Linked DNA regions of Nothobranchius furzeri. The protein of the gene in region 1 purifies or fractionates together with the protein of each later gene. This does not show direct contact. Links are inferred from orthologs where the notes say so. Each region holds a gene or a part of one and is shown on either strand. Other genes may lie near its edges. The genes, in order: mkln1 and zmynd19.

Region 1 (4,277 bases):
GCAATCAGGTCTTCCTTGAAACAGAGAGGTTCATTTCAAGGACAAACAAAGAAACTATTAACTAAAATAATAATCTCTGATCTAAGAATGCCTTGAATTTCGCCAGGAGCTGCAGAGTGTCTCTGAGGAGCGGTTTCTTCCTGGACCGGTTACCCCAGCAACCCAACCCAACCTTGGACATCAAAAAAGAAAAATCCAGAATTTACGTGTCTTTGAAAGCAGTGCATGATGTTGTAATATATGCAACATTTATTGTCATCCCAGTACCAATGTGTGCAGCATCAGCATCTCTAAACAAATTTTAGGACTGGTAAATGGAGACTATGACATTTTACATGTAATCCAGATCTGTACGGAAGATAATCTGCATCCAGATGGAGCCTCTCTGTTCTGGTTTCCACATCTGATTTAAATGATAGAGGCTGATATGCACAGAGAGAAAACGGCAATGACTGAAGGACCAGAGAGGAAGGGAGACACAATATGAATCAATGAAACGGCATGTTCTCATCAAACTTTGTACAGCCTTTTTTTTAAATAAGGAAAAGATCAGGGACGATCAAAGGAATGAAAAGAAATCTAACAATTAATCACCAGGTTACCCATCGCCTAGCATTCGAGTGCAAAGCTGCTGAAAATGCTCCAGTGTGTGATCAGCTCAGCTCTGTAGTTCATCAGTCATGCTTGCATGGCTGTAGACTATGTTATGTTTTCTTCATCAAAACAAAGTAAGATTATCAGGGCAGGATGGAAACTGCCAAGTCACTTGACACAGGCCATATAAATCCTATTTATAATAAATTAGCTGCATCAATAAAAGGGAAAGAATGGATTGGAATGTTTACTATGTGAAGTGCCTTGAGATGACTTGTCATGATTTGGCGCTATATAAATAAAATTGAATTGAATGGATAATATAACAAAAAAAAAACACAATTTACATGCAGGAGGCATTAAATAAATGCCTAAACAACATCACATCTGGGATGACAGGAATAAAGGTTTGTTCATTTAATCGCTGGATGATTCACACACTCTGACATTTGTAAAACTGACTCAACATGTAATAAAACACTGAGATCCCCCTGAATAGTGCTTTTAGAAACAAAAGAGTTGTTTTAGACGGGAAACCATACAGTCTACAGCTTGGTAAATAACAATAACATGGATTTGTGAAATGTTCTAATCATAAACATTGACAAACAAATAAAAGGCTTACTGACTATCCTGAAAATGTATTATGTTTTTTTCTTACCTTCTTCAATCTCTAAACTGTGCACCTTTAATGTTTAGCCTGAAGCCGCATTATTTAGATGTAAGAGTGTATGCACAGAAAATCTGGCCCCTTGGCTGTGTTATAAGCTGCTGGTGAAGGATGCATGATGACTCCATGCAGAGTGAAACAGGTGTACTGTCTCTTTAAGAGAGTTCAGCTCTCGGCTTTGCAGCTAGCTTCACACTACCTGCTGTTTTCCAACAAGATGGCCGTCGCTCCTGAGAGTAGAATCCTCACTTTCAGCGTTTTTAAATGGAGTTCATACTCCTCCACATATTTACCCGAGTGAGTACCGTGCACGTTAGTCCCCCTAATGTTTGCATTACCGTCGGCGGCTACAGGTGACCTTCTATCGCCTTCGTACATCGATGTGTTGTCCAGCCGGCTAGACTGGCCTAACCGATCCTCGATGCGAGCCAGCTAACGCAACGCCAGGGACATGATTTGGTTCGGAAATGCGACTAATCGATTGCAACTGTGATACAGTAGCTACTGAAAGATTATTTAACTAACAGGACAACGTCTTAACTATTTCTTGTGGATCTGTATTTGTTCTTTAATGAGCTAAAGTCGTGTGATGTGGTGGACTCGTAACGTAAACAAAGCAGGGCAAAGTTAGATTATTTAAAAGTTATCTGTTTTTAATCCATTGCATGTTTGTGTTTGATTGTTTAAAATAACAGTCTGCTTTCCGGTTGCTGTAGCATATAAAATTAAAACCTCAATTTGAACACAACCGGAGGTTTTATGGATAACTCTAGATGCTAGTACGATAGCTAGACTGTAGCATCTATGCTAATGAGCCTGTTCACCGCTGGTGTATCAGATCAACTGGCGATAAAATCATCAGATGTCTCAGTGAGTAGGTGCCTGGGTTGATGCCTGATTAAAATATTAGGAATCCAAATTCGCCGTTTTAAAATGTTCTTGTCATCATTAACATTTATCAAACAGCCAAATTGTCAGCCAAAAACAACAAAATGGTGCGAAAACCTGTCAAAATGTATTAAACATGAGAACGAAGTTTAAAAAATCTCAACCCAGATGCTGCTCAGAAAGCTGCACCACAATAAAACAGCAGATATTCGAAATTTCACTGGAGATTGACTACATCCATTACATCCAGCTAATTTTTGCCAGAGATTCATAATTTAATAAACGAATAGAATTCAACAACACTAATTATTTTGCTAATACTTTAAAAAGTGTTCATCACAATAAAGCTGTAACAGCAGTCTAACAGGAATTTGCCATGTGTAGAATATCCATTCATGATTTCAAAAGCCCCCCTTGTAGCCCGCTACACCCTGCAGTCCTCCAGCTTTCTCCACCTTTATCATTTTATTCACTTTTAGCTGTATGACTGCAGTTTCCACTTTAATCTCGCCAAAAGAAACCTTTTGATAGTTACAGCACAATAGAAATTTCTGAGACCATGTAAATTATTGAAAGTGATGTATTTTATGTTTGACTCCCTTTCAATGTGTAAACATCTGGCTTTGTTTTCTGGACTCCTGACTTATTTCAGATCTCTGATTTGTAGTGACGAGCAGCAGACTGAGATGTGGAAGCTGAAATGTTTGCCTTTAAATGAGGACTTATTGAATGAAGCAGCAAAATCAACCTGTTTATTCACATTGTGCACTTCTGTTTTATTTATTTAGGAATATCTTGGTGGATAAACCTAATGATCAGTCTTCCAGATGGTCTTCTGAGAGTAACTACCCTCCTCAGGTCAGTTTGCTTGACTTCACTGTGTGAATGAATACTGTATGACTAGTTTGGTCATTATAGGTCATTTTTGACCACAGATAAGGGGGATAAAATGAGGAAATTCTATAGCGTGATAAAAAAAATGTATTATAAATTTCTCAATTATTTGACTCAGTTTCTAATTTACATTTCTTGGTCTGTAAAATTTCAGTGAATGGTCTGGAATGTCCAAAGCCAATTCTTAGATTTTATGTTTGGTTTGGTCTCCAAAACCATTCTCACCTGTGTTTATGAAAAAGACAATGTGGTCTATTTTTTTAGATATGCTGAAAATGTTCCTTTTGCTTTGAAAAATAATGTAAATTAAAGCAGGAAGTGAACAGAGACTATCACTCTCTTCTTTTATGGGATATATTTAGTTGTTTATAACAGAGTTCTAGTGAAATTCTCACTCCCAATAAACAGATGTGATGCTCATTAAAGTGACCATTGTGTTAACTAGTAAACTTAAAGTTACAGAGGAATAAATAATGTTTATTCCTCATTAACTAAGTAGATGTTATGGTTATAAAAATATACTTTAATCTACCAGGAATAATAAACTGCAACTTTATGTTGAAATGAAGAAATTCATAAAAATGTAACCTCTTTCTTTGTAAACAGCACAATGTCATTTTTTGTAATATAACATTATTATTATATAATATAACATTATTATTAGTAATATTATTAATGATGCATAAGAAGTCTAAGAGTTGTGATAATAAGAGACAACTAAGAGTTGTGATAATAAACAGAGCTGTGATTTTTAGGGATTTCTAAAAGGAGATATATTACTGCTTGATTGCAACGAACACATGAAATTGGTAAAATTGAGTATTTTCTTGGTGGTAACAAGTTTAAAGGTATGGAACACTGAAAACATTTTTTATGATTATTTGTGATTATTATCAGTCACTCTTGAGTTTTTCATGCAGGCTGAACATGAAAACAGTCTCCTGCACCTATCTCCTACGTTAGCTTCTGATTAGAAAATCCTGACAGATCTACGTCACACTGTTACTTAACATTCATTTACTCACCCATCTTGACTCACAACAACGAGGGCTGTTGTTGGTTTAGCGTCCAGGAAACAGCAGAGGACATCTTTGCTAGTAGAAGCTAACCATTAGCATTAGCAACTAACTCTAAGCTCCAGATAAAACATCCAAGTTGCAGAGCAAACTGAGTCAGTGGTAGTCATGTTGCTGCTAGCCAATCAGATGTTCGAATATAAGGCAAGGCAGCT
Region 2 (4,319 bases), on another chromosome or scaffold:
AAATAAATGAAAAATAAATGAATGAGACCTTCTCCACTGTTTCCTGGACGCTAAACCAACAACAGCATTCCCCGTCGCAAGTCAAGATGGGTGAGGTCATTAATGTCAAGAAACAGTGTGATGTAGTGCTGTCACACCTTTTAAATTCTAGTGTAGCATTTCACCGTCTATTTTTTTTTTCAAAAAGTATATTTTATTGCATTTTCAGTTAACTGTACATCTTTCACACATTATTATGTTGTATACTGAAAGTACATTCTGTATAAAATCTTAATGGAACAACAGAACAACAGAACAATTTAACAATTTTGGTTGTGCTTCTGGCGATACTCTTCACCATCTATTTTATATCATTGGGAAGGAAATAGATGTAGGACACAATTTTCACGTTTAGCCTACACGTTAAACTCAGAATGACCTATGTTTTTCAAAAACAATAAGTCAAAAATGCTTTCTCTGTGAAGGACCTCTTTAAAGGTGACTAATCAGGATAAATGATTTATACAGATTCATGTATTTCCATGTACAATGAAATTCTTCGCTGCTTGCAATGGATGCCAAAAGTATATGTCAGAAAGGGTTATAGTTTTGGCACTTCTACAAGATCCATTTGTAAAGTTACCCCACTCTTATTTTGGTGGTCCAGTTTGTGACATCACTTCCTCTAGATAGTCCCACTCTATCACAGTATAATTTAGGTTTTTAAACAAATAAGATAAAAAAGAAGCAACAAATCAATCAAAACTATTAACTCTACCAAAGTTACAGCACCATTATTCATGTGCAAGTGAAATAAGTGTCCATAGAGGGAGTGGATGGGGTCTTTGAAGATGGAGGTGACTGTCCTGTTGACTCAGTGGTTATTGGTGGTGGTGATGCTGCTCCCGTACCAAACCTTATCACACAGAGATGCAACAGATCTAATTGACTCAATGATGCAGCTGTAGAAGATGCTGAGGATTCTGAGTGACAAACTTCCTCAGCCCCCTAGGAAGTACAGTAGCTGTGTGGAGCCTTCTTTAATGACTGTGTGGTGTTCAATGCACAGGTGAGGTCCTCACTGATGTGGACCCCCAGGTATTTAAAGTCAAGAAGCATTGTTACAAAAAAACAAATAATCAGCCAAACACAACCCATTTTGCTTTTATATGACAACATTTATAACAATGTTTATTCTTTATAAGTTCATGTTTAATTTTAAATGAAAGCTTTTAGAAAACGGAGATTCCTCCCCTTCAGTGGCACAGAGCCGCCAAAGATTTCGCGCGAAAATGATTGGAAGTGATCACGAGAGAGCATTGACGTCTAAGTTAAAATAGGCAGTCTTAAACGTTTGTGTAATTCTATTGGGCGCAAGGACAGGGCATCGCAGACTAAAACGTGTTTCGATTGGTTGGTTGGAATAGTGGCTCATTCCTTCGATAACCCCGCCTCTCACCACAGCTCGCCCAGCTTTCGTGCTCCAGCGGCCGTGTGTCACCGAGGCTGGGCTGCGGCCGGAGAGACCTGGAGGTAGGGCAGTCACTACACTGAACCCAGAAGTTGCATCGCATCGGGGCAGACGGGCTGCCCTGGCGAGTTCTACACCCCGAAAACCGCCAAGGTTGGATTCTACGCCTCGTTGTGTCAACACCACCCGTCCTCCTGATGTCGGATTTCAAGCTCGGGATTGTTCGGCTCGGCCGTGTGGCCGGGAAGGTGAGCTGGATCCCAGTGCTGCCATGTGCGGCCCGTGGGGAATGCGGAAACCTCAAGTAAATACACTGTTAACGGCAATTTATCGATGCCAGTCAGCTGCCGTAATGATAATGGTGCCGTTGAGGGCGCGGGAGTGGGCTAGTTGTACCGTTTCAGAGTCGTTTGAGCGGATTAGAAAAGCCGGCCGCGTCGAGCCAGAGCCAGTCTGCTCTTCTCTACTCCACCGCTATCACTGTCTTCCTTCAAGCTAACACTAGCTAGCATGTCCGTTAGCTGGTTTACTTCCAGTAACAAAACGTCTACCTGAAACGTGAACACAAACTATTTGTGCTTTTGTTGCTGCTGACACTGTCGTGGCTCGTGGCTGGTTGGGGGTGTGGTGTGACAAGGAGAACTGACATTTTATCTTGTAGCGGATAGGTTAGCATCACCAGATTAGCCGTTAGCCATGGCATCTGGATTAGACAGGAGCTGACAACTAATGAGGGAATCGGTGCCTTGCTTCATCAACGCTAGCCCGTGGTAACATAACACCGGCATAGCAATGCTGCGCTCCACACCTCGGGGCTAAAGTATTGTGATTTATTCCGTTCAAATAACGTAATTGCCTCAGATACACGTGACTTTAAATCGGGGCAGGATGCTGGTGTTGACACCCCTGGCTGCTGCTGCTGTCACTGCTGTCACAAGACACGCAGGATAAACTGCTGTCACCAGTCTTGCATCTCATCCGGCTGAGTGACAGTTTTCCTCTGGTTGAAACGTTTTTATATTTAGTTTTAAAACAGATAATTACGCCTTGTTTCATGCCGTTATTAAACCTCTGGTAGGTTGAAACAGGATAAAACTAGTCATTATTGTGGGTAAGTGTATTATAACTTTTACACACTTGGTCAGTTCAGGATTTGACCTGCAACAAAGGGATTGCAGGTCAAATACATATGCGTCTGAGTGGTGTCATCCTCTGTTTATCTTGCAAACATCAGGTGTGTTGCAAATTTTGAACTGGCACAGATCACTTGATTTAAATCTTTTATAGAGGATGAGCTTGAACCATCAACTGGTAGTGAGTGGAAGTTCTGAAAAGCCCTTTCTAAAAATTTCAACTTGTGGTTTTACTAATAGACGAGCTTAAAAATTGGGTATTTGCTGGCGGCATATTGGATAGTGTTTTTTCATTAAAATCCATTCAAAGTATGTTATGATCACAGCTGTAGATTTTATTGTGAAACTCAAATCATGTCTTCAATTTTTCTCCATTTCAGACAAAATACACTCTGATTGATGAGCAGGACATACCACTTGTGGAAAACTATGCCTTTGAGGTAAACTATCAGAATGTTTTGTACCCCGTTTCCCATTTTTATCGCTAACCACAGCCAAGAAGTTTAAAACGGCTACATTTTCCCTCTATTTTTAGGCACGCATGGAGGTAGATGCAGATGGCAATGGTGCTAAGATCTTTGCTTATGCTTTTGACATCGGAAAAGGCCGCTGGGCAGGAAGACCTCTGCATGAGCTACTCTGGTAAGTCTTTTGTTTTCTACAAAAACAAGATGTTCTCTGTGAGCAAAAATGAATAGTTAACATTATCTTCTATATTTAAGTCTTTATTCCTTGACTTGTAGTAGGAAAAGCCTTGAACCTGAACCAGATTGATAAGAACTTCTGAAAAGAGAAACTGATTCTGTGTACGCCAGGAAAAAATACATCATAAATGCTAAAAAAGCAAACATCAACATTTAAATGGATCCTATACAATGGAAAGTTTTAGCTTGAATCTCCCATACCTAATGAGGACAAATCAACCATCTATATTTCCTTTACAAGAATCTTAAAGGTCATTGGTGTTTAGGCTATTTTGCAGCAAATATTAAAACCATCCTTGTTATCCATTAAGTGCATCTGTAGACTTCAAAAACCAGAAATTTCCCCTGGAGGGTAGGGTTAGCTGTATGTTTAAATAAATCCTCAGTAACTCTGAATGAACCAGTTCTTGATTTCTTTGCTTTTAACCAGGGAGAAGCACAGGGGAGGCATTGCCCCTAGTTTTCAAGTGATTCACATCAACTCCGTAACCGTCGACAACCGGTTAGACAACCTTCGACTGGTGCCGGTGGGCTGGAGCCCCAAGCCGGAGGAGATTTCCAGCAAGCAAAGGTGAGACCACTTATGAATTCTGCTGAAAGGCATGGGGGCAAAAATACTAAACATTCCTGAGAGGACTTCGGTAGCTGACGTTGAGTCACTACCATGACTCACATGTTGAGAACCATACTGATTCTAGCAGTATGGTGGACAATAACTGATGTCTTCTGTGTTTTTGTTTTCCTCCTAGAGAGCAGTCTCTGTACTGGCTGGCCATCCAGCAGGTCCCAGCCGACCCGGTGGAGGAGCAGTACCTAGAGCTAAGCCGCACGCGCTACTACAATGCTAACGGGGAGCTAGTGGAGGAAGAGGAGTGCTCCTGCACTTATTACGAGTGTCATTACCCCCCTTGTTCACTAATTGAGAGGAGGGTGTGTACTGAAAGTTCCGATGTTGATTAAAAAAAAACTTTACTCATTCATTTAGCAGGAACATCAAACCTTAATGATCTCGTCTTTCCACAGCTACGAGAG

What was found.
Region 2: the proteins of mkln1 (region 1) and zmynd19 purify together in Homo sapiens (affinity purification with mass spectrometry; 3 studies listed by BioGRID and IntAct, with this or other methods). This does not show direct contact. The link is inferred for Nothobranchius furzeri from reciprocal best matches to the Homo sapiens genes MKLN1 and ZMYND19.

The regions. Positions count from the first base shown.
Region 1 is NC_091741.1:63,274,260-63,278,536, reverse strand, and holds the start of mkln1 (muskelin), read left to right. Parts: upstream 1-1,419; 5' UTR 1,420-1,481; coding exon 1,482-1,561; intron 1,562-2,940; coding exon 2,941-3,010; intron 3,011-4,277. UniProt on the Homo sapiens protein: Component of the CTLH E3 ubiquitin-protein ligase complex that selectively accepts ubiquitin from UBE2H and mediates ubiquitination and subsequent proteasomal degradation of the transcription factor HBP1.
Region 2 is NC_091746.1:54,509,977-54,514,295, reverse strand, and holds the start of zmynd19 (zinc finger MYND domain-containing protein 19), read left to right. Parts: upstream 1-1,466; 5' UTR 1,467-1,647; coding exon 1,648-1,698; intron 1,699-2,963; coding exon 2,964-3,023; intron 3,024-3,118; coding exon 3,119-3,225; intron 3,226-3,717; coding exon 3,718-3,858; intron 3,859-4,036; coding exon 4,037-4,217; intron 4,218-4,310; coding exon 4,311-4,319. UniProt on the Homo sapiens protein: May be involved as a regulatory molecule in GPR24/MCH-R1 signaling.